Caenorhabditis elegans: one gene and its partners. The protein of the gene in region 1 interacts with the protein of each later gene in a pairwise test. Each region holds a gene or a part of one and is shown in the gene's direction. Other genes may lie near its edges.

Region 1 (8,033 bases):
TGCAAAGGAAATCAGTGCAATGTCAATTTCTTCGCGGCGATCCACATCACAAAATTCGAATACTGACAAGACCGACGATGAGCTGACTGAAGAAGAGAAAGCTGTCAGAGCCAAGATTATGAATACCGTTAAATCCGATCTTCTAGAAATGTCTAGTGGTGAGCTCTCCCAAAAGGAATTGGTTGACTCTATCACCGATTATGTTGGAAAAGAAAAATACGGTTCGCCGTCATTGACAGTAGTCTATGAGATGATTATCCGAGCTGTGATCGAAAAAGGTTTGAAGGATGATGATCGAAAGAAGTTGGCTATTGCTCTGCGGATGTCATTGGTCAGCAAGACTGAGAAGCAAGCTTTTATAGAGGGGTAAGGCAAGAGTTTATGATTTATTGAGCTTTACAAATTATTTCAGAGCTACCCGTTTCTGCAAATTCGCTAATGATGTTGAGCTCCAGCAAGATTATCCCAAATTGTGGACCGTTACTGGTGAAGTTCTCGTGAACACAAGTCATGCTCCACATGACGAAATTGGAGAAGTTGAATCTTTCTCATTAGCGGACATGAAGCCAATTTTCTCAGCTGCCAAAGGAGAAGGAAATAAGAAATTTGACCTTCTTGTTCAAGTTTTGAAGCAATTGGTGAGTTATTGCAAATTTTAGTGCTCAGATTCAGTACATTGCGTTTATTTTTTTAATTTAATTTTTTTCAGATCGAGCTTGAGCTTGAAGTGACTGGCGCTGCAGAAGGAATCTCGTGGGAGTTTTCGGACATGAAGTTAAAGACTGAGATGGAAGAAGGACTTTCAGCAGAAATGGAAGCAGTGACGTTTAAAAATGGAAAAACGTTGTCGAGCTATTTGACGGGCAACTAATTTATCGTATTTTTGGATTTTCAAACTCCACAGTAGATTTATAGAGAACTTTTTTGTGTGCTAAAACCCATTTTAATTATCTATATAAGAACGAGTTGTTGATAATACGGTCTAAACATGTCAAGTTTTTCGTTTTTTCGCCGCGCGTCCATCCCTACCGATTTTATGTCTTATTGGGTATCCCATTAATGGTTTTCGATATTATTGCTTGTTTTTCTTTTGTTAGAGGTTTGCAAGAAAAGTTTCAAAATGAATAACTGATTATCATGATTTAGCTGAAGTAAATCAATTTTCAGACATTCAGATCATTTTTCCTGCAAACTTCCGCTCATTCTACAACTCGTCTCGAAACGTGAAGATTCTCTTCATTTTTCGTTTCGAGACGCAGAAATCAACTCGTTATAGCCCCTTTCCCACCCACCTTACCCTTTTCTTCTGATGATCACTAAAAATATCACGTTTTCCTCCAAATCATTAAATATTTATATCCTCATTTGGATTCCCGTTTCGTTTATTTGCTCCCAGTTCCCATTTCTTTCATTCGTTTTTCTATTTGAATAACCCTTTCATAGTCTCCTTGTTTATTGTTTCTAAATTAGCTGTTGGTTTTTTATTGGTTTCTCCCTTCATATTTCCATACCAGTTGGTCCCGAGAACATTTCTTGCTATGCTTGTTTTCGTGCTTAAAGGGTCTTTTCTAAGAGACGGTCGAAAAGTCGCTGAATTTTTTCGGAGTGCTGGAATTTCGTTGAATTGCATCGAATTTATCGTAAAACGAAGACTTTTGACTAGCTCTTAGCTTCATTTCTTTTCCAAATTTCCTAATTGTGTGTAAGTCAGTGCCTTCGGTCTGATTCCTGGATCTTCTAGAAATTGTGACAATTGGTTAATTTTAATATCCTCTCATCAGCCCATCTTAAATTTTCCACTTCCTTGAATTCTACGTTTTTCCTGTTTTAACTAATTGTCCTTCCGTTATTATCATCATCACCACCTCCACCACAAATAAAAATGGGCATCAAAATTGTTTTTTTTTTTTTTCATCATAGTTCTTGTTGGGGTTGTTCCCCATTTATATAGCTTGCTCTGTTTTCTCATCAAATGCTCACAGTTTTACGTTGACTCGATTTTGAATAAATATTTAGGAAATCGTGTCACTGGCGAATGTAAATGAAATCTAATATGAGAAGGAATAATATAAACAGTAATCGAGAGAATTTCGCCGTTTCGCAGGTTTGTTTGAATTTATTTAAAATTTAGACCTATAAAATTAAATAGTTTTTGAAAAAATTTGCTACAGTAACCTTTGATCTACCCGCGCAAATCTCAATTCTTTTTTCGTTAGAAACTTCATTCATCTTTCCTTGAGACAGGTTTTCAATTTTTGTCATTTTTCTTTACATTATAAAATTTTAAACTTTATTCTCGATCTGCGTAGTAATGGTGATGCTTGTCGAGGTTTGCGACAATGAATAGAAGAATAGGCAACTGATTTCTTTCAATTTTATTCGCTTCTCTCTCTCGTCTTCGCCTCAAAACTATTCTCTCAGTCTAAGACAAAAAACTGGTCTGGACACAGTGACTGTATGCAGAGTGTTTTTAACCCTTTTCTACCTCTCGTGTGCGCGCACGCTCACATACACACGCGGAGGATGTCCGTGAAGAAAAGAAAAGTAGAAGAGGATGAGAGACGTAGACATGTCCAGCATGCAGCATTAGTAGGGGTCCCTCTTCAGTCGATATTTGTCTCAATTTGAGTGGAGGCAAAGGAAAGCCGGCTTTTTTGGTGATCTGATCCTGTCAGTTTTATTTATGCATGATAAAATTAGTGGTTTCTGAGGCGTCCTTTTTTAAGAAAACTCGAATATCTTAATTATAAAATTATAAAATATCATTCAATATCCCTAGTAATGAAATTTTCTACCTTTTTATCTGAGTTTTTAGACGAAACGATGCGGGTTTTAAAAGAGTTTTGGAGATAAATACATTCTGTTTCCAAAAAAATTAACGCTTCGTACTGAACCATATTGTTGACATGGTGCATAGTGACATGGTTTCCCGTTTCAATAGAGCTTAGTATAGTAGTAGTTAATTAATCTACATCTTCTCTGTATGCTTTGTAGTAAATAAACATTATTTTACTTTCTATTTTAGAGAACTACCATTGGTACTCACAAGTTTCGTTTTCTTGTCTCTATTATTTAGTTTCCATGATCTTCACAATTTTGGTTTGAAACCATTGTCCATGTTTTTTTTTCTGCGCAGTTTCGGGTAATTATCCTGTCCCGCCGTTCGTCCCCACCCAATCCTCCCGTCAACACCAAAAAGCGTTCGTTCCGCTTCAATTACTTGAATCGATAGATGTTATTCGTCAATCCTCGTGGTCTCGGCACGAAAAGTCCCTCGCTTTATTCACCGTCCCTCCCACTCATGCTTTTGTTTAGATGAGTCACTATTGTTTCTTTCCGCCTACTACTACTGACTCGGCTGCAATTTTGACCTCAACTCCAATTACTTACGTGTTCGATCGATTTGGTTAGTGTGTCCTTCAGATGGTATTGTTGTGTGTTGAAGAAGTATAACACATTTCTTATTTCGCATCTTTTATTGTGTGTTCATATTGGAATTATAATCCCTTCGTAGTACGGTCTCTTTCCAATAATTGTTTTGATGCTTTTGAGAATTTTGGGTGTTTCTCTTCTCGATTTTTTGTTTTCAATAACAACAACAAAAAGAAATAAAATTCATTTTTTCGAAGTTACTTTTTGTGTTTTCAACGGTCACCTTCAATTTCCGCTCCGAAAAAGAACCTGATTTTCATAAAACGTCCGCCGCCGCTTCGTCGTCGTCATCAACAGAATTTTATCATCGCATCAGACTTGAATAGAAGCGAAAACGAAAAAAAAGACATCATTATATTAATAGTAATTTTCTAATGATGGCCATGATCACAAGTGTGTTGAGATTTCTCCGATTAGTAGATGTAGGAGACGTTGATGATGATGGTGCTGACGAAGTATTCAGTTAGATGAACGTTATTCTGCTTCTTTTCATTCTCATTCTTGACGCCTGCTTGTTTTCCGTTTCTCCGGTTTTTGGTTTGCCTCATTTGAATATATGCTACAGTACTCGACATGAGTGTAAATACTTAGGTTTCCGTATCTGACAGCTAAGCTTATTACGATTCCCGACGGATTTGACATTAATAGACCTAGCTGCATTAATGTTGTTCCTTTATTTTTGTCCTTATAATAATGCTGAATAAGAATGATATTTTAATTATTTTTGAACCGAACAAAAAATTTGCGTAATGTGCAGTACCCTAAAACGATTTCAAATTATCCCTATCGATTTGAAAGTTTTTGAAATATTTTGGTAAATTACGCTGGTTAGGATATAATTATTATGTTGCTATTCACTGTTTCCCAAGTTTTCAATTCGATACTAACCCATATAAAAGAGAAACAAGATTTTTCTTGCCTTCGTGTCTAACATCTTCTTCCAATATTTCGATTTTCTTGCCCATTTTCCCATCCACTGTCCAGGTGACGCATTAATTCAACGCAGCAAAATGTGAAATCAAGATGTTACGTAACGGGGGATCCTAGCCTAGGAATCATCAAGATCAGAGAGGTAAAAGGACATCAGATAGAGGCAGATAAATTCACAAGAGACTGACTGCAGCTGTCTTTCTTTTACGTCATGTTTGCAAAATGACTGGCGGCATCCCCGAAGGTGTGTGTGTCCTGTAAATCTAGTAGTCAAGCACACATTGAGTTTTGGAGGAAAAGGAGGAGTGTTCCGGCGAGTTTCCGCGCGGAAGAAGAGAGTGTGAGAGCAACTTGATCGTCTGGTTGCTGAGCAAAGCTACGCACACCTTTTGGCCATGTTTCCGTCGTTCTGGCTATTGTTCCATATTTGTATTGATTTTCCCTATTTGGTTTAGTCATGAAATGTTTCTCTGCAAAACTTGACGACATTACCTGATTGTTGGTCAACAAATCTTCTTTATTTTTGTCGTTTTTGTTACACATAAGAGTTTTGGGATCGCCCAAACGATTTCCGATAGTTTTATGGCTGATTTCTCTTGATTTCGTAATAATTCAGATCCTCACAGTTGTCGTATTCTCCAGTCAACACAGTAGTGACTCACTTCGGTTTGGATGACTAACAATGTCAATCTGTTTTCGTTTTCTTTCTTCTACTGTGATTTAGTGTTCTATTATGCATTGACTATTACAATAATTAAGTTACAGTCCTGATCTCGATTTTATGAAACTAACTACATCACACACTACGTACTCCCATTCCTGTCAAGATTGTAATCAGCTGATGTAAAAGAATGTCCCCTGACCGCAAAATAAATGAAGAACAGTCTATTTTTCTTAGTTCAAGGTTGACTGTAATAAAATAAAAAAGATTGAATTGAATATTTGTAAAAAATCAATTTCTCGGCTTCATAGAATTTTTCGCCAGATCTTACGCGCTCGGTCTCGCCACGCGGACAACGGGTTACTGTAACTCGTATCAACTTTAGATTACGTCTACGTAATGATCTCGCGTTTTTTGAAATATTATTCTGAATCATGTCATAAATTAATTAGAATATATCGTCGCTCAAATTGGAAAGGTGTGTCTTCAAAATATTTGTCAGTATGAAATAACTTTATTTACCTAAGAATTATTTTCAAGATTGCATAGTGCTTTTGAAAAGTATTGCTATTTGAATCCGACATTTTTTCTTATTTCCATTTCGAAAGTAATAACAAGTACATATCCAGTGTCAACTTGTCACCTTGAAGTATGAAAAATGACTACTGCACTTTTTCACGGTCGTCTTCATTTTTTTGTATTCTTTTATTCCGATATGGAGATGAAAACCGGTCGATCATGTGCCCCCAAGGGGGCTGATCATGATTTCACCCTCCTTTCACACTCTATCCCCCACCACCACCTCACAATTCTTTTTGGTCTCACTTTCGTTCCAAAAAGCTTTGTTATACTCTTAGTTTTCTTTTACTGTAATTTTTAAATTCTATTTTTTTTTCGTTGTAATAAATCTTATTTCTAAAGGTTCTCTCGAAACAATGGCTCAAAAGTCGGATATATCAGTGGAAACGGCAAATGCAACATCTGGAAAACCAAATCCACCATCACCAAAGTCCCGACTTGCAATGCTGAAGAGAACCAAGAAAGGTGAGAACATAGCTGAGTTCCGAAAAAATGATTTCTCAATTTTTGAGAGTATCCAATTGTGAATGTAGAGATATCAATTTGATAATTTAACGAGAAGATAGCCTTTTTGCCAATTTTCAACAGATAGATAATGTTATCTTTTTGTTATCTATAACATTTTCAGGAAAGAGTTCAAAGTTTATTGGTTCACTCTTTCTTTTCCCCCAAAAACTTGTGACAATGATCTGCCAAGCAGAAAGTTTGCTCCTTTCTTCTCTGCGTCTCACTTCGTTTTCTTATCTCTTTACGCTCTCTAGCGCCCGCTCTATGTGATTTCTATATCGATTTCTAACGAGTGTTTGTATACTTTTAAACTCATTAATAGATTTTGCAAATTTCATTTTAAGTGAATACCTAATTATCATGAAAAAGACGCAATTAGGGCGTTCGTTTTCCAAATCATTCAAGCAGAAAAAGGCGCGGGGTATGATTTACTCTATAATTATCAATCTAAAATTTAAACTTTTTAGCATCAAATGCATCATCGGATCCGTTTCGCTTTCAAAACAATGGAATTTCCTACAAGGTGAGTTTTTTTTAATGATTCATGTAGTAGTTTTTGTAAAATTGTTATTTCAGGGAAAGCTGATCGGAGAACAAGATGTGGACAAGGCTCGAGGAGATGCAATGTGTGCTGAAGCAATGCGAACTGCCAAGAGTATTATCAAGGCTGCTGGAGCTCACAAAACACGTATTACTCTTCAAATCAACATTGATGGAATCAAAGTTCTTGATGAAAAGAGCGGCGCTGTTCTTCATAATTTCCCAGTATCAAGAATCTCTTTCATCGCTCGTGATTCTTCTGATGCTCGAGCTTTTGGACTTGTTTACGGTGAACCTGGAGGCAAGTACAAGTTCTATGGAATCAAAACAGCACAGGCAGCTGATCAAGCAGTTCTTGCTATCAGAGACATGTTCCAAGTTGTTTTTGAAATGAAGAAAAAACAGATTGAGCAAGTTAAGCAACAACAGATTCAAGATGGTGGAGCTGAAATTAGTGTGAGTTTTTAGAATAATTCCAAAGATCCAATGCATTTTTAAATTATAAAAGTCCATTGTTATGACTTTATAAAAGTTCCAGAGCAAGAAGGAAGGTGGAGTCGCCGTCGCTGATCTTCTCGACTTGGAATCCGAACTTCAGCAAATTGAACGAGGAGTTCAACAACTTTCAACTGTCCCGACAAACTGTGATGCCTTCGGAGCATCACCATTTGGAGATCCTTTCGTAGACAGCTTCAACAGTACAGCCACGTCAAATGGAACTGCAAATATGTCTGGAACTCAAGTGCCATTTGGAGGACTTCAACTTCCACAAGTTCAACAAATGCAGATGCCAATGGTTCAAATTCCTCAACAATCTCATCAGAATTGGCCAACATCCGGAGCTGGATCATTTGACGCTTGGGGACAACAACAACAGCAGCAACAAATGCACCATGCTCATAGTACACCTGCTTTCGGAACAAACGGATTCTCGGATACTAATCCATTTGCGTCGGCTTTCAATACTCAAGCTCCGCCACCACCACTTCCAACTGTTGCTCCAACACAATACCGTGATCCATTCTCTGTACATTCCTCTGCTATTCCAAATTCAAATATTGATTGGACTGGAACTGGGACTACGAAAGAGAATATGGCACCATCTACTAATATCCAACAACAGCAGTCATCATTGCATCACGCCAGCACTTTTGCCAACTTTGGAGATAATAAGTGAGTGATATTCTAAAACCTAAATTAATAATAATCAAAAACAAGATTCAGGGCCGAAACCTGGAGTGAAAAGAAGGTGACGTCGCTTGAAGAAGCTTTCACGAAATTGGTTGATATGGACGCATTGGTTGGTGGACAGGGTATCAAGGAGACAAAAAAGAATCCATTTGAGCATATCTTAAACCCACCAAAGGTACAATTTAATCTATTT
Region 2 (5,530 bases), 2.4 Mb from region 1:
CTTGTAAAATAAATATTGTTTAATGCCTGTGTTGTTTCTTTCTGTAAATTGAATATATATACACTTGTCGCTTATCCTCTAGATCAGCTGGCTTCGTCGCTTCGTTGTTTCTACAGATATTTCTTGCAAGAATCTTCCGATCGAATACAACCCATAGAACTTCTAAATAATTTTTTTCCTGATTCACTGGTTGCTGATTTTATAATTTGAAAAATAATATTGTCTACCATGTTTCCAAATTTCAAAATATGATATTGTGATATACGAACTTTCTTTGAATACTTTGTTACAGAACTTCCTCGCATGTATCATTTTGAGAAGAAGTTGTATGTTCGAGAGCCGTTTCTAGAGAACTAACAGAACGAATTTTTTAGATTTCAGAATTATCAACAAGATCATATGCAATGCCTTGAATTCATAGATAAGAGATGATGAAAGATGGAGCTGACTGCATTTGAAAGAACTTTCATTTTATCTATCTAACAATCTAACAATTATTAATAAACAATTATTCATTTTCATTGTTGTGTTTATCATTCGATTACTCGGAAAACATTTTTATTGCTCAAAATATATATTTTTCTAGCTAACTGGAGTAGTTTCAAAATTGCCATTCGGTTCAGGATAGGCGGTTTCAGGCTTACTTTTGTTTAATTAGTCCCAGGTCTTCGAAACTCAATGTTTTATTGTGTCCTGTGTTTCCCTTGATTTTCACTAAATTAATTCTGGGGACATGAGAAGGTAATCTTGGAAAATTGAAATAAACTACAGTACTCCTCAAAGACACGATTTTAAATTCAAAAAAATCAGTCGTGTCGAGACCCGGTACCGTATTTTGGGTGTTAAAATCGGAAAATTTCGCCAATGGGGATACGATAATTTGAGTTTTATATTCAAATTAGATGTATGATATAGGAAAACATTCCACTAACGGGTGTATTTGATTTATTTTGCTTGTATTTACAAATAATATATTTCGAATGCTCGCCTGTTTCTTGATATTGTCCTCGTGTTGTTCACGGCCGAAGTTTTTCACAATTATCAATAGAGCGCTTCTGAAAACTCGTCCGCGACAGTGAAAATTTTAATTTTCAGAATTAATTGTTTTTAATTTAACGATTTTAATTAATTCTCTCATTTACTGTTGCAAGATTTTTTAATGCTATCTGTTGAATATTTAATTTTATCACTATTTTCAATAATTACGATGTAGACGCTTTATTTGCAATATATATTGCAAACAATATTACAATATATATTGCAAACAATATTGCATTATACGCAGATTATTTTCTCCCGTTTTGACAGAATAAAATTAACTTGACAATGTGTGTGTAAACACAGTGACGACAAACTGCGACAATGAGTCATTCAGGTTTAGTCTTTTGCGAATTAGTTTATTTATAATAATTATATATTATAGGGTTATTGGGATATTTTTTTATCTCACCGTTAATGAAAAATGTTAAATATATTCCTGTTTCAAAAATTGGCTACAATTTAAATCAATATATTTGTTTTGTAATCATTATCATAGAGGGCCGGGACTCTTCCCACTGAAACTCAATACTTTTGCATATTTCACATTCTCTTCCTCCGTTGGTTCACCAAAAGAGAAAAGGGACCGACATGAAAAGGAAACGAAAGCTTAAAAGAGACGGAAAATCGATGTACTAGAGTGCTCGGAAGTAGTTGAGAGGCGCAGAGAGAGAGCTTTCATTCAGAAGACACACGACGTTATTCCTCGCAACGCCTTCTTCTTTTTAACAATCTTCAATACATTTTAGTGAACTTTCTTTTATTTCTGTTTCATTTAAAAATAGTCTTAAATTTCACTATATTTAATTTTTTTCTTTTATTATCTGGAATGTTTCAGCTTTCAACATGGATGATTCATACGCGATAGCTACACCGCACAATGATGTTTTTAATCACGCATTCGCAGAGGTAAATATTTAACAATTTGTAATACGTTAACAATTGTTATATTCCAGATGAACCCTCACGGAGCACCAAGAATAGGAGCTGCAGAAGCAGCTACTTTCCTTAAAAAATCAAACTTGGCGATGCCTGTGTTAGGCCAGATATGGGAGCTTAGCGACTCTCAAAAAGTTGGATCATTAGATAAGAGAGGAGCATTTGTTGCTTTTAAACTAGTCGCAGCTGCTCAACAAGGTAACTTTTATTACCTATTTGGAATCATATTTTGTTGAAAATACGATATGCTCAAAAGTAACCTTAACAGCAAAATATTTCAGGGAAGCCCGTCGCCAATTCTTCCCTCTACGATTCTTCCCTTCAGCCACCACGGTTTGCACCACCTGTACCACCAGCAAACATGCAGCATCATTTCCAACCATCGTTCCCATCGGTTTGACTGAAAAGTGGTTCCTCTATTTCTAAGTGTTATTATTCAGGTTGGCCGTGCTCCTCCAGTGCCACCACCACCACATCCATCACATCCTTATTCGATCTCTTCTCAACAATCTTCTCCAGCTCATCCATCGTCAGCTTTTCCACCACAATGGCCGATAACACCAACTGACCAGGTAGCAAAAACTGAGAATTAAAAACTTTTAAAAAATCTTTCTATTGGCACGAATAGAGAATTGACAGTTATTTTCCTTTACAGATTTGATCAAATATTCTTGTAATTATTTCAGGCTAAATATGACTCCATCTTCCAATCATTGAATCCTGTAAACGGAAAATTGTCTGGTGCACACGTACGCCCGGTTCTGATGAACTCTGGACTTGATGCTCATGCTCTGGCTCGAATTTGGGAACTTTCGGATCAGGACAAAGATGGAAACCTTGATCGAATCGAAATGTCTGTTGCACTTCATCTTGTATACCGATCACTTCAATCAGACCCGGTTCCTGCACAGCTCCCACCAAATCTCATTCATCCTTCGAAAGCAATGTATGCTCACAGCTCACCGAATTTCGCTGCTCCTCCACATCCTCCACGTCCGATGATGGGATCGAGAGCAGGATCTGTGACGTCATTGGATGATGTGAACATGAGTCAATCGTATTCTGCAACGATGCCACGTGCATATCCACCACAACCAGGTCGTGCTTACTCTGCACAGGCTCATGTGAATGGATCACGAACCAGTGGTGCATCAACTCCGATATCTGCTTCTCACTCGATTCACTCATTTCCTGCTGGTGAATGGCCTATCAATACAGGAGATTATGCTGATCAATTTGCTCAAACTGATACGAATAAGGATGGATTGGTTGATGGCATGGATATGAGAGCTCCCATGATGACTACTGGATTGAGTGCACAGATATTAGCACATGTCTGGGCATTAGCAGATATAAAAAAATGTGGACAGTTGAATTTGGAGCAATTTGCTTTGACGTAAGTCTTTCAAGTTTACCAAATATCTAGTGTAACTAAATATTAATTTTCAGAATGCATCTTCTTGACATGGCAAAACGAGGCGAGTCCATCCCATCAGAACTGCCTTTACATCTGATTCCACCTTCATTCCGCCCACCTACGGAACCTTCAGCTTTGCATCATCCTGCTCAATCAGTTTCAACTCCACAGCTCCCAGAAGCAACTTCGATGGAAATTAAAGAAGCTTTGGAAGGCGAAAACGAAGAGATGAAGCAGCTCGCAGAGTCTATTCAATCAATGCTGGTGGAGCGGAAAACTGCAGAAGAAGCTGTTTTACAACTAGAAGCTGATATGACTATTAAGAACTCGAGTATCAAAAATCTGCAGGTTGAATTGGCCACCTTGGAGTCGACAGTTAAACAGTTGGAGCGACAAAAAGGTGAAGCCACACGAAGATTAGCTGATTATGATACTCAAATAGAACAGTTAGAATCAGCATGTAAAGCACAGAAAGAAACGAAAGAAGATACCGAGAAACGAATGCAACAAATTGATGAAGATGCAAAGAATGCTGAGGACTGTAAAGCAAATGATGAAAAAGAAATGGAAGAATTGAAAAAAGAAATTGAAATGCTCGATAATCAATTCAAAACTGTTCGTGGAGAAATTGTCAAAGAAACATCACAAAGAGAGCAAAAGGTGGCCGAATTGACAACTCTAGAACGAAAAGAAGCAAGAGATCAGATACAAATGGAAAAGCTGGATGCTGCAATCGAGAACACGACAAAACTAACAGAACAAGTATCAGATGCAGTCGAAAAATCCGAGGAGGAAATGGTTCAAATTCTGAGGTCGCAACAACGATTATTGTCTACTGTAATCGATCAATCGTTGCTATCCGATGACACTGTTTATGGAGAAACAGCTGGAACATCATCTCAAAATCATGTTCAACAACCACCTGATCCGTTTGCATCCGCCAGAGCAAGTAGGTTTATATTTTTAAGAAACAAAAAGAGTTATGAAAACTTTTATTCTGACTTAAAGTTTTGAAATATGAATATATAACATAAATTCAATTTCCAGATCCTGCTGCTGATCCATTCGCCCAAGTAGATCAGTTCGGCTCATCTGGACATTTTGATGCCGCTTTCCCAACTGATCCATTTGCTCAAGGAGGCTTCCCATCGGATTCTGGCTTCGCACAATCGGCTCCCGCAAAACCTGCTCCACCTCGCCCAGCTCCTCCAAAATCTGCTCGCGAAACACCTGTCAATGATCCTTTTGCGTAAGTCTTAGTGAGTATCAATTTATTTAAAGTCTAAATAATTTCAGCCCATCACAAGGACAATCAACTCAACCGGCTGGATTCGCTGATTTTGCGGACTTTGGATCGGCTTTCAATTGATTTTTAATAATTATACCTTACCCACTATAAGCCCCAACGCCAGTCAAATTGTTTTACTTTGCCCAAATGTTTACCTGTGCCAAGTCATCGACATAATTTATTGATGCACATTTTTAAGATTAGTTTTTTTGCACTTTCCCACTTGAATTGTCACTTTTCTAGGTTATGAAATCAGAGCAATAATGTTATATACTGTAGAATATGAATATGCATGATTATTATGTAAATTATGAGTTATAATATATAGTAAATGATTTGCAGATTAATTTTATGTTGCGTATTTGATATTTTCAGTCTCATGTGTAAAAACGGAGCACAAGTAAACGGGTTGAAGGGGGGGAAGTAAACCGTAAAAGAAATTGATAAGGAAAAAGGAGAATCACAGAAGTTTGAAAATAATAGTGAAAAAGTTGTGTGAAGAAGACATAATTATGCTAGAAATCGAAAGAAAATACAGATTAGATGTACAAGAATGTTCGTGTCGGATTTACATACAGTGGCCAGTATCCTGAAAATAATAATCGCTATATTAGAATTTATTTATATATTACTGTTTACCTTCAATTGTGTCAAATAGAGTTGTCGTTTAGTTTCTATAGTCTTCTGAGGGAACGGATTCAGTTCGTTGAATGCCACTTGAGCTAGCGACTTGAAGTCAATGATATGTTCTTGAGCTTTGCTGAGACATTGATGAACTGTGCCTGAAAATTCTTGTTAAAAAACTAATAAATTTAAAGTTGTAAGTCACAAACCAATAGTTTTACATT
Region 3 (4,571 bases), on another chromosome or scaffold:
AAAAAAGACACCCAGAGATGAATGTCTCCAGTTTTATTGCCTACTTACTTGCCGCTTTTTGTCGGATCACATTCCGTTTTTTTATTGTTGCGCGTCGAATGTGTGCGGTCTGGATGAAATTATTCAGGAGCTCTTAGTTCGCTTTATTCATAAAAAAGTCTCAGTGGAGCAAAAAAAGCGTACTCTTGCAGACGCCATGTTTGAAATTTTTAGAAGGTGCGCGTGCTAGCTGTTCAATTTTTTTGCATAACTTTTGCACTTAACCATAACTATTGAAACTACAGCGTCCATATTTCGTTAGTTTTTGATTTTACTAAAAAGTTGTAAACTGACAAAACATTTATCGTGACTAACTCTACAAATTTGCAGTTAAATTTTTTTTTTTGATATCTATGAGAATCTGCTAAAGTTGTGCCAATTTATTTCTAGAAAACGAAAACTTATATTTTTGCTCTCAGTATTGTAAACTATTAATTGAATGTACTTACGCTAAACGTTTTCACAGTCAATCTATTAAATTGCCTCTTTGTGTCCACATACTGTTCCATTTACCCCCCCCCCCCCCCCCACCTTCCTTTCCCATTTCTTTCATCGCCGCCTATGTACCAAAACATAACTCTTTTCTTCTTCGTCGTCGCCTGCCAATTGCCTTTGACACTGCCCCGAATCACCAAAAAGTTATTTTTCATTGTTTCATTTTTACTCGACCAGTCTGAGTCTCATCTTCTCTACTCGTGTACCTTTTTTGGCCTTGTTGTCTGTTGGTGAGGGAAATCTCAAAATTGTAGGTAGTTTGGTTATTTTCTTTTTGGGGTTTTAAAAAGGATTCTTGCGTGGAGAGCTTCAATAGTTTTAGTTTATACTCCTTGAGGGACTCCATAAATTTTTTTTTAATTTGGAATGTTACTTTCTAAAAAGTATTTTTTTAGTTTTGTGTTTTAGTTTAATACAATTCGTTTTATGAATTGATCTAAACCAAAAAAAAACACAAGAAAACCAAAAAAATTGAATACGTTAAAAATACTTGCATTTAAAATTCCAAAAGTAATTTTTAAAAAAGGTGTAAAATTAATAAATCGCTGAGTTTTACAGTTAGTTTTTGCTCGGTTACCTTTTCCGGTAAAAGCGAAAAATGGATTTTTTTTTTGCTAGCTTCTTTCTGAGAAAAATCTCATAAAAAAGAGCAAACTTGTTTTTTGACTTCGTCTTCCTGCTCCTTCTTCCCTTCCCCCAACGCCTCATACTTTATAAATCTTGTGTGTTCGTGTTCGTGTTCACATTTCCTCTTTGTCAGTTTAATTTTGTTTATTGCATTTGGCTCATCGCCATCTTTCCTTCTCTTTTCCAAATGTCTTACTTTCTTCTTTTCTCTCTCTATTGCCATTTGAACATCTACAATATATTGGGTCATCTGAACCGAAACGAAATGGCAATTAGACAGAAGGGGGTTCTTGAATTAAAATCACATTGATTTCTCGTAATCGTTTTACTTTTTGACTTTTGAACTTGTCTCCCTTTTTTCCTTTTTCATCTTTTTTTGCTAATTTCAGTCAAAACCTGTACCTCTCGACTCTCCATGAAGGTGCTGCACACATTCCGATGCTCTCCGCCCGTTATTTAGTTATTCTTCTTGTTGCCCTTCAGGGTTTCAGCCTCGTTCAGTCAGATGAGACGTCAGCGGAGGGTGAGCTTTTTTCCTACGGTACTCGATCCAGTCACGAAATTTTTTTTTGTTAAATGTAAAGTGTGGGCGCCAGTAATTTTCAAAGACGTTGATTTTTTTTAATCTAAAAATGTGTTGAAAAATCAATGAAGTTTTGTAGAAACAAGTGGTTGGAAATTACAGTAATCTTCAAAGGCACACACCTTCTTACGCTTAACGAAGTATTTTTGTACTAAGACCGGATACTGTATATTTTCAAAATTCGGAAAATTTTGCCATGTCAGTGTAGTAAAATTTACTCGTGAAGTGTGTAAATGCATCGAGAATTTTCAAATAGTTTGAAAAAATTTTATTCTAAAGCCGTATAAATTTGGAAAAATAGCAAATTGCCTGTATTTTTTTTACTTTTCGGAATCAAAAAACCTTTTTCAGAAACCCAACCCCACTACCCAGAATGTGTTGCACCGATGCGAGAATGCGATGCAAAATCGCCGGGCGGTCCAAAATGCTATCCGGAACAGTGGTATTGTGACGGGTTTCCAGATTGTCAGGACAGTTCAGATGAGCCTTCCACGTGTAGTGAGTTGCTATTTTAATTTTTCTATTGTCTTTTTGAGAACATATTTCAACCACAAAATTCGTTTAATTATTCCAATTTCAGAACGAACGTGTCTAGAAAACGAGTTTGTGTGCAAAACGGGTAAATGTCTGCCACGTGGCTATTTGTGTGATTCGCAATACGACTGTGGACGTCTTCCAAACGGAGACCGCGACCTTTCTGATGAAGCTCCTGAACTTTGTAAGTCTTTGAAAATTTTATTTTCGTGGCGCTTCATGTCTAAACTTTCCAGGCAATCAACCACTACACTGTGATTACAACGAGTACGCGTGTTCAAAATCCGCACAATGCGTGCCTCTCTTCAAATTCTGTGATGGTAAACGCGACTGTTCGGATGGCTCGGATGAGCATTCGATGTGCCACGTGGAAGATCCAAAGACAGCCGACAGTTGTGAGTATGGAGCAGCAATGACGATTGATGGAATCAAGTGTTACTGTCCGAAGAACAAGTTTTTGAATGAGCAAGGAAAATGTGAATTTGTAAATCATTGTGAACGAACCAAAAATGGTGAGTTTTTTTTTAAGTATGAAAAAATATTCAACAGTTTTACGTTTCCTACGTTTTAAAAAGGTAAAGCTCAAATTGTTAGGATGAACTTTAAAATAGCCCCTGAATGAATTTAAAAAAAAATTTTGCTTTAAATTTTTTCAACGTTTTTTTATTTAGAAAAAAGAAAAAAAACGGGCGAAGTTTGAAAAAAAAATCGATGAGAAATCGACAAAAACGTCTAAGAATAAGACAAAGCAACAACATGGGAAATAAATGTTTAAAAAACTTCAGAAAGTGAAAAGTAGACTTTCAGGACTTCCCCCTGTATGCAGTCAAGATTGCACTGACAACAAGAACGGTACTTTCACGTGTTCCTGCTTCGATCCCAGGCTCACAGTTGTCAATGGAACGCATTGTGTGGCTGATAAAGATCGTGAGTTTAAAATTTTTTTGATGAACACTTTTATTTCAAAAAAAAAAAAACAAAAAACTTATTTCAGAAACCATCCCCAGTGTAGCAATTCTCACCAAGAAAAAGCTCTTTGTGCTTCAGAAAAACAAGATGTCTAGCTATTCAAGCATGCCTCGACCACTAGGAAAACCCGGAGCAATGACTCTTGTCATCCAGCATCCTGACTTCCCGGAGGCCACTGTTCCAATACTCTGTCTCTCCGAATCTCCATCGGCAAATGATAGTTATATCACATGCGGAAATGTTGAAGGCTCCGAACCTGCAACCAAGACTTATGCAATTGATTTTGATTTGTCTTCTATTCACATCATACGATTCGATAATATTGGTAACAACTGGATTTTTACGGATGCTTCTTATTATGTATTCATTTGCAAGCATAATAGTGTACGAATATCGTCCTGTCGAACTGTTACCGCAGGTGATATGGGAACAATTCAAGATATGAAGTATGATGGATTGAACGGACAGCTTTTGGTATCTGAAGTTGATGTTTTACAACAAGGAATATGGAGAATCGATGTAGCATCTGGTCAACGATACCGACTATCCTATCAACCGATTACTTCTCCTGCACTTGCAATTGACCCATTCACCGAGACATTATACTTTGTGGATATTGGCGCACGATCCATCAAAGCCGTTGACTATAATGCAAACTACTCAAGAACTATTGTTAGTGGCCGAATTGCGAAAGAAGTTAAAATGATTGATTACGCAGAGGGTCGGTTGTTTCTGACACTGAAAGACAATCGAGTATTTGCAATGAATGCATTGGATTCGAATTCTGATATGAAGATTTGGCAGGAAGTGACACCTCAGAGAAAACAAGGGAACGAGAATATTCAGATCCTTGAAGTTTTGCACTTTCGACGAAATGAGCATGCATGGAAGAACAAGGGAAAGAATATTTGCAAAGCGGCAATGTGTGATGATATGTGTATAGGGCATATCAATCAAACTTCGTCGTGTTTTTGTAGAGATGGGTACATTCAGAATAACACAAAATGTTCCGCCTCGAAAGATCTTAAAGATGAAGAATTATTTGTTCTTGCTCAGTTAAGACCTTCGAGGATCAAGATCCTTGGATTCGACAAGAACTATCGGACAGAGATCATCGGAGTCTCAGATCTTCTGAATGTCAAACGTCCGAGTGCAATGACTTTTGATCCAAAAGGAGAACAACTTCTGATGTATGATTTGAGAAGGCATTCACTTGTAGTGCAAAAGATTGGATCCACAAATTACACAGTTCACGGACTTACTGGAATCATGAACTGTGAAGGAATGGCTTATGATTTTACATCGGATAACCTCTACATGACTG
Region 4 (7,677 bases), on another chromosome or scaffold:
GCCCTATCAACACAGCAGCTTCAGCTTACGCACCATCGATTATTCAAATCATTCTTTGCTTTCTCGGCGTCCTCTTCCTTCATAAATTTGACGTATACGTTTCCGACCATGTGTTCTCCGATATTCTCACAAACGTTGATCTCCTCCACTTCTCCATATTTTCGCTCCATCTCCACAAAAACCTCCTCGTAGAAATCGTCAAAATAGCGCTGTTCCTGATCATTCCGCTTGCCGACTTTATCGAAAGCATCCGCCTGACGGACATCCACTACCGGATTGTGGTAGAAGTTTTTGAGCACAACTGTTGGCGAGAATGTCGGTGTATGATGGGCTCTGGAGCATTTGTCTCCGTGGCGGCAGGCTCCTGTCTGCAAAAATTATTTAATTATTGAATTTTTTCACAGAAATCCACAACAAACCTTGAAGAAAAACGAGCAATTGACTTTATCCTTCTCAGTACCATAGATTGAGGCCAGGTACTCGGCTCCGGAGAGCCCGTCACCATACGACATTGGGATTCACTAAAAAAAATGATTTTTGACGAAAAATTCAATTTCAGCGGGAAAACCCTGAGAATTACGATTTTTAAACACAAATTCTGACGGAAATACTTCAGAATACAACGTAAAACTCAAAATATCAAGAATTCAATGCAAAAAACAAACTGCGAACCTGAAACAGATAGAAAATGGAAATAATAACCAACTGCCCTGCTAAATTCGAAAACGCAACGAGGCACGCTTTTGTGGGCGGGGCGAGCGTCGGCAAGGTGAGCGCGCGCGTTTTTCTAGCGTTTTCTCTATTTTTCTTTTTTTCTCCCATGACCAGAGATTAATAAATAAGTTGAAATTTAAGTGAATTTCTCTTCAATTTTCCGCGATTATACCGATTAATTCATGCACCAAGGCTGAAAGAACATTTAAAAATCAATTGGAGCTCAAAATTATTTGGAGAAAACTCAAGAATACGAGATTTTTCACTCTAAAACTAAAATTTGTTCTTAAAATGCAAAGTTTTAAATGAAAAAAAAAACATTGATTTTTTTAAATATATAAAAAAGGGGTTTTTGATTCCTTTAAAATTCTCTGCGTCTCTTGCATCTCTCGCCGCGCGCTCTCGGGGACCACTCCTCTTTTGGGGCACGCAAAAATCGATAAGCTTTCGGCGGCGCTTGGCCTCTTTCTTATTTCTTCTTATTTCTCAGTTCCTGAATCCAAATTTACAGAAATTTCGGCGCATTTTCTCTTTTTGTTGCGAAATTCGCATTTTTAGCGTTTTTAATCGAAAAACCCCCAATTGACAAATCCGTGGGAAGTTTACATAGAAATTTCCAGCTAAATTAGGGAAAAATCACGAATTTTAGCCAAAAAATTACATTTTATTGAGCCGCCTCGCTCGCCGGCCGCGCCGCGCCGCGGCCAATTTTTACAGAAATGGCCGAGAGGGAACCTAGGCCACGGCCACGACCGCGACGCAGCTGGCGAGCGGAGCGGCTCAAAAAAATCTATTGTTTGCCCAAAAACATGTGTTTTTTCATCATTTTCGCTGATTCTTCGCATAAATTTCCAGTTAAATTAGAAAAATATGGCTCGTTTTTTCCCTTTTTTGTTGCGAAATTCCCATTTTTTGTCGAAAAATCCCCTGTTCTCCAGATGACAAATCCTTGGGAAGTTTCCGATGCCGAATATCAGAAGAATTTCGCAATGTTCGGCCAATTAACCGGAGGACAACCGTTTATGGATGCGGTCACTGCACGAAATGCACTAATGCGCAGCAATCTGCCAACGCAAGTGCTTTCTCAGGTTGATATTAAACTTTAAAAAAAAAAATGTTTTTATTCAAACAATTTCCAGATCTGGGCGCTGTCAGACTTGGATAAAGACGGCCGGCTCGATATTCGTGAATACTCTATCGCGATGCGACTTGCTCTGAATTGTCTTGCCGGAATTCCGATTCCTCCGCAACTTCCGCCTTCCCTGCTGGTAGTTCCCGCCAGAAATGCTCCACCAACCTGGCCTGGAAGCCGGCATGGCAGTGTAGACTACTCACAAACTCTTCCACCGGCCATTGATCGTCGAATGTCGCAGTCATACATCCCATCTGCACCGGTTTCGATTGCCGGAACTCCATCTAGCAGACACAACTCGATTTCAGCTGGAAGCCCTTTGAATAATGATCGCAATGTCTTCGAAGGCCGGCAGCTGGAAAACTGGGCGATTCCTCACCACAATAAATTAAAATATTCTCAATTGTTTAATGCTCTCGACAAGGAACGTCTGGGCTCCCTGAGCTCACAAGTCGGACGGAGTGCTCTCGGGCTTTCAGGCCTTCCTACCAATGTTCTCGCGCATATCTGGTTTTTGTCAGATGTGAATAAGGATGGAAAGCTATCAGTGGATGAGTATGCGATTTCTCAGTATATGATTGAAATGTTCAAAGTATGTGTTTTGTTACCGGCCAGAAGCTCTTTATTCAAAAATTGCACTTTTTCCATGAAAATCCAACTTTTCTGATCTAAAATTGATATAAAAATGTAGAAAAAGGTTCTTTCCATCTGAAAATATTGTATTTTTCATGTTTTTTCAACAAAAATAAGGAATATTTTCAATTTTATTTGTCAAAAACTTGGAATTTCAAAATAAAAAGTCAAGCCACGTGGACGCTCCTCCCACTTTGCAACATGCGGCGCGAGTTTTCGCAACACTGCCGCACGGTTGTATTTTCTTCACGAATTATAGTTTTTCAGTGAATTTTACAGGATTTTTCAACGTTTTGCTTGTTTTTTTCAGCAAAATTTCATGTTAAAACGCTGAAAAATCTCAAAATTTCAAATTTTTCTGTACGAAAATCGGAAAATACCCTAAAATCATGAAACACCATAAAAATTTCCGCTGAAAAACTTAAAAAAATTTTTTTTTCAGAGTGGATTCGCGCTTCCAAAAATAACCCCGCTGGAACTTGTCCGGATGTGCGGAATCTCATCAAGATCAGCCAACAATACCCCTGAACTCGAACCAGGAGCGGAGCCACCACAAAAGTCACCAGCTCCGAAAACTTTTGAAGATAAGCGACAGGATAACCTATCTAAAGGTCAGGCAGAACTGGAGAGACGACGTAGAGTTCTTGAAGAAGAGGAGCAACGAAGACGAGCAGAAGTAGAGAAGAAAGAGAGAGAAGAAGAAGCGAAGAAAAATAGAGAAAGACAAGAAAAGGAACGACAGGCTGAAGTTGAGCGGCAAGCTGAACTAGAAAGACAGAGAATAATTGAAGCTCAACGGGAGGAAGAGGAGAAGAAGCGGAGGCTAGAGATGGAGAGACGCAGAGAGGAGGACGAGAAAATGAGAAAAGTTCAAATGGAGAAGGCGAAAGTTAAACAGATGCAGGTACAGATGCCTGAACAGAAAAAATGGAATTTTTATGTGGATTCTAGGCGATTTTTTGAGTTTTTCTTTTGAAAATTGAACTTTTGGAACACAGAAATTTTATTTACTCATGATAAAAAAAAACCAAATTTAAATCCCTAATTTCAGAACCAGAAGCAACAAGAGAACGAGCGTCTTGCACAACGTCAGCAACGAGAAAAAACGCTGCAATTTCAATTACAAGCACTTGATGAGAAGGTTATCGATGTTGAAGTGGACATTGGAAAAGCCAAAGAAGCAGTAGCAGAAGTGACTGGATTTATTGAGAGAATGAGATCTACGAGAGACGAGAAAGTCGCGAGAATTAAAGAATTACAAGAGACTAATCAGAAGGTAATACGCGTTTAATCTATATGCAAATTACCCAAAAAAGTTCCAGACAGCTATCGAATCTCAAGAACTCGGCCATCAGCTTCTACAAAAACAGTCGGCTCACAAGGAGACAACGCAGAGAAAAAGTGAACTAGAAGCACTGCGAAGGAAACGAGATGCTATTCGAAAAGCTATAGAAGATGCCGCTCTGGAATTATCCACAGAAAAAGAGAAATCGTATAATCAGACGGAGATTTTAAAGACGAATAAGGAAAAGTATAAGACTGATGTTTATTCGAAACTTGTCGCAAAACGAGAAGAATATCGAAATTCGTTTGAGCTTCTGGTTCATGCTCAGACACATGCCAGGAGCAAAATTGGGGAATTTGAAGCGAAATCTGCTCCAGCTTCAGCTGCTCCAGCTCCTGCTCCTGCTCCAGCTCCTACTACCACCAACGGATTCCCTGCAAACTTCAACGATGCATTCGGAGAATTCGATAAAACCGATGCAAGTCAACGTTTCGACGCGGATTTCGGTGCCACGTCGACAGCGGATCCATTTGCTCAGATTGCTCAGGCGCCAGCTCATTCGAAGGGTGCTGTTGATCAATCGGCGTTCAATATTCATGACACTTATAAGTGTCGAGCTCTTTTTGCGTTTGAAGCAAGATCCGAGGATGAGCTCAGTTTTGAACCAGGTGCTGTCCGAACAGCAATATGTCCCTTTAAATGGCCTTTTGTTGTGTAGATTTACGAGCTTCTCCGGAAAAAGCTCGAAATTTCGGAATTCGTAGGAGAAAAAGTTTGGCATAAAATTCAGGAATTTTTAAATTTTTCCAAAAAAAAATCTGAAAAATTGCAAAATTCCACTAAAATCAAGGAATTTATCTAAAATTTTTAAGAGTTTTTCCAGAAAAAAAGCCAAAAAAAAAGAAAATTTCAATTTTTTTATTCTTATCTCTCATTTAAAATGACTTATTTAATATTTTTGAAATAGTTGCATGGAAAACAAATTAAATGCATAAAAGATGTGAAAAATTTCAGAAAATTTGAATTTTTTCGAAAAAAAAAACTGAAAAATTGCAAAATTCCACTAAAATCAAGGAATTTTACTCAAAAATTCTCAAACTGAGCTGAAAATGATTCCAAAAATTTTGAAATTTGTAGGAGAAAACGTCCAAAATTCAGGAATTTTTAAATTTTTACGAAAAATTATTGGAAAAAAGAACTATTTTTCCGCAGTTTTTTCAAAAAAATTTTGAAATTTTTCAAAAAGTTTGGATTTTTTCGTTTTTGGCAACAAAAAAAACCATCACTAATCAATGTTTACCTAAAAACCCCGTTTTTGTGAAAAAAAAACCCTTTTTTTCCCAAAAAATACCAATTTTTGTCAGAAAAAACTTAACAAAAAGTGTCATTTTTGACAAAAAAAAGGCAAAAATTCGAGAAAAAGTTAATTTTTATTTATTTTTCTTCTAGGAGACGTCATAATCGTCTTCCAATCCCATGCAGCTGAACCAGGATGGCGTGCCGGTCAACTTCGTGAGAAAGTCGGATGGTTCCCAGAAGCATTCGTCGAAGCAATCGCAGCAGTACCTACTCCAGGCGGTGATCCACCTATTCAGAATATGCCACCAAACATGACGCCGAGCTCATCAGTAGATCAAATTGGAGTGAAAGCGGCGCGGAAAGCGGAAATCGCAGCGGCAATGGGATTGACAGAAGGTGGTGCTCCACCTGCTTCAAGTGCTCCAGCAGCAGCAGCAGTAATATCTCAATGTATTGCACAATTCCAATGGAGAGCACGTAATGAGGAGGATTTGTCATTTGCAAAAGGAGATACAATTGAGGTGGAGAGCATTTTGCTGCGAAAAATCCAAAAATTGTCTGAAATTCTTGAGCTTGAACCTGAAAAAAATGAGATTTTACAAGTTTTCCGGCAGAAAATTTGAAAAATTTGAAGTTTTAAGCCAATTCTTAGGAGTTTTCAGCCTATTTTCCTGCAAAAACAGCTTGAAAATGTGATTTTGACGAATTTTTGAAAAAAAAATTGGATTTTCGGTGAAAAAATCGATTTTTAATCTATCTTTCAGCTAAATTGTATGATTTATAAAATAACCTTTTTTCCCAAAAAAAACCATTTTCCCCATAATAACTCTTTTTTCTAAAAAAAAACCTGTTTTCTACCAAAAAAAAACCCATTTTTATCAACAAAGGAACCCAAATTTTCAACAAAAAAAACCTTTTTTACCCCAAAAAAACCTATTTTTCAGCAAAAAAATGAGCGTGGTTTCTGGGGAATTTTTCCAAAAATTTGAAAAAAAATTTAGGATTTTATTCCCATTTCTTCTTTTCACGATTTTTCTTGAATTTCAGACTATTTTTTTTAGATTTTTGAAGGTACACCTTAACTCGAACTAATAACATTAATTTCAGGTACTAGAAAAGCAAGAAATGAAATGGAAAGGTCGAAATCCTGCCGGCGAAATTGGATGGTTCCCGAAAAGTTATGTGAAAGAAGTCGGAGCAACCACCAGCACCACGACTCCGATTGTGTCTCCTTCGAAGGCTTCTGCAGGAGCTCCAGGAGCAGCAGCAGGAGCTCAATACGACGTGGTACCTTCCGATGTGACATTACAAGCCTCCGAAACAGCCCCCCAACAACAACTTTACACTGTGATCTACGATTTTGAAGCTGTCGAGACAACAGATTTGGCACTGCATGTCGGTGACACAATTCTAGTGCTCGAGAAGTAAGTGGAGAGAGGAGCTCTCGCTGCTCTTGACAGGAGCTCATTTGGAATTGAATTTTTTCATTTTTTTGATAGCTTTTCGTATTCTTGCGCTATTATTATTATGCTTAAACGAAAGGTTTCGGGGTATCAATTTATTACATTTTGAACCAAATAAGCCCAAAATTTTTAAAATAATTGTTTCCAATTTTGCAAGGAAAACCCTATTTTTGGCAAAGTAACCTCAAAAAACTATTTCTTGTCCAAAAAAACCTTTTTTTTTTCAAAAAAGTCTAATTTTTGTCAGAAAAAAATCCAAAAATGTGTCGTTTTGCCAAAAACACCAAAAAAATTCCATTTTTGCAACAAAAACAGCTAAAAAATACATTTTTCCCCAGAAAAAAAATCATAAAACTCAGTTTTGCCAAAAAAAAAAACCAAACACGCGTCATGTTTACCAATAAAACTTTTTTTGTTTTAAACCGATTTTTTCAGAAAAAATCCAAAAGTGTCATTTTTAACATTAAAAAAACCTAAAAAGCTATTTTTTCAAAAAAGGCACAATTTTTCTTACTTTTGCCAAAAATGTGTCATTTTCGTCAAAAAAAACCCTGAAAAAAAAACAATTTCCAAAAAACACAATTTTTACCGAAAAAAAATTAAATTTAAAAACCAAAAAAAGCATATTTTCTCAAAAAAATTAATTTCTCCACAAAATTAAAAAAAAGCCCGACAAAATCCAATTTTTGCAAAAAAAAACCGAAATACTCTTTTTTTTCCAAAAAAACTTCATATTAAAAAAAACCCCAAAAACCCAAAAAACTTGTTTTTTAGCCAAAAAAAAATTACTTAAAAACTGAAAAACTGACACCAAAACAAAAATATCAATTTTCAGTGATTTAAATCAAAAAATAATTTCAGAAACGATGAATGGTGGAAAGGGCGTTGCAACGGACGTGAGGGTATCTTCCCAGCCAACTATGTCGAGATATCAGTCCAGCAGGCAGGGGATCCGACTCCACCAACTCAAGCTCCAACTCCAGCGGCTCCACCAACCGTCCTCTGTGAAGCTAAAGTTGTCGTGGATTTTGTTGCATCGGCGCCAAATCAATTGGGAATCAAAGTTGGCGAAATTGTGAAAATTCGTGAAAAATCAGCAGCCGGCTGGTGGGAAGGCGAGCTGATTCGAAATGGAAAACCAATCGCCGGAT

What was found.
Region 2: the proteins of dab-1 (region 1) and ehs-1 interact in a two-hybrid assay, tested with the Caenorhabditis elegans proteins (2 studies listed by BioGRID).
Region 3: the proteins of dab-1 (region 1) and lrp-2 interact in a two-hybrid assay, tested with the Caenorhabditis elegans proteins (one study listed by BioGRID).
Region 4: the proteins of dab-1 (region 1) and itsn-1 interact in a two-hybrid assay, tested with the Caenorhabditis elegans proteins (3 studies listed by BioGRID).

Annotation. Positions count from the first base shown.
Region 1 is NC_003280.10:8,220,372-8,228,404, forward strand, and holds the start of dab-1 (PID domain-containing protein), read left to right. Parts: upstream 1-2,016; 5' UTR 2,017-2,104; intron 2,105-5,944; 5' UTR 5,945-5,958; coding exon 5,959-6,067; intron 6,068-6,348; exon of another isoform or gene 6,349-6,469; coding exon of another isoform or gene 6,470-6,530; intron 6,531-6,576; coding exon 6,577-6,632; intron 6,633-6,685; coding exon 6,686-7,105; intron 7,106-7,181; coding exon 7,182-7,822; intron 7,823-7,867; coding exon 7,868-8,015; intron 8,016-8,033. Other genes in the region: ifg-1 (MIF4G domain-containing protein), read left to right, coding at 1-366, 413-638, 710-871.
Region 2 is NC_003280.10:5,818,836-5,824,365, forward strand, and holds ehs-1 (Eps15 (endocytosis protein) Homologous Sequence), read left to right. Parts: upstream 1-1,876; 5' UTR 1,877-1,884; coding exon 1,885-1,947; intron 1,948-1,994; coding exon 1,995-2,175; intron 2,176-2,258; coding exon 2,259-2,371; intron 2,372-2,417; coding exon 2,418-2,549; intron 2,550-2,663; coding exon 2,664-3,373; intron 3,374-3,426; coding exon 3,427-4,343; intron 4,344-4,441; coding exon 4,442-4,643; exon of another isoform or gene 4,644-4,690; coding exon 4,691-4,763; 3' UTR 4,764-5,027; downstream 5,028-5,530. Other genes in the region: tbc-2 (PH domain-containing protein), read right to left, coding at 5,251-5,271, 5,322-5,464, 5,516-5,530.
Region 3 is NC_003279.8:3,950,971-3,955,541, reverse strand, and holds the start of lrp-2 (EGF-like domain-containing protein), read left to right. Parts: upstream 1-1,550; 5' UTR 1,551-1,599; coding exon 1,600-1,684; intron 1,685-2,095; coding exon 2,096-2,242; intron 2,243-2,324; coding exon 2,325-2,462; intron 2,463-2,514; coding exon 2,515-2,790; intron 2,791-3,085; coding exon 3,086-3,205; intron 3,206-3,272; coding exon 3,273-4,571.
Region 4 is NC_003282.8:17,118,032-17,125,708, forward strand, and holds the start of itsn-1 (Intersectin-1), read left to right. Parts: upstream 1-1,650; 5' UTR 1,651-1,652; coding exon 1,653-1,802; intron 1,803-1,853; coding exon 1,854-2,438; intron 2,439-2,921; coding exon 2,922-3,383; intron 3,384-3,530; coding exon 3,531-3,755; intron 3,756-3,795; coding exon 3,796-4,432; intron 4,433-5,213; coding exon 5,214-5,584; intron 5,585-6,170; coding exon 6,171-6,487; intron 6,488-7,387; coding exon 7,388-7,677. Other genes in the region: uaf-2 (Splicing factor U2AF 35 kDa subunit), read right to left, coding at 34-368, 420-512.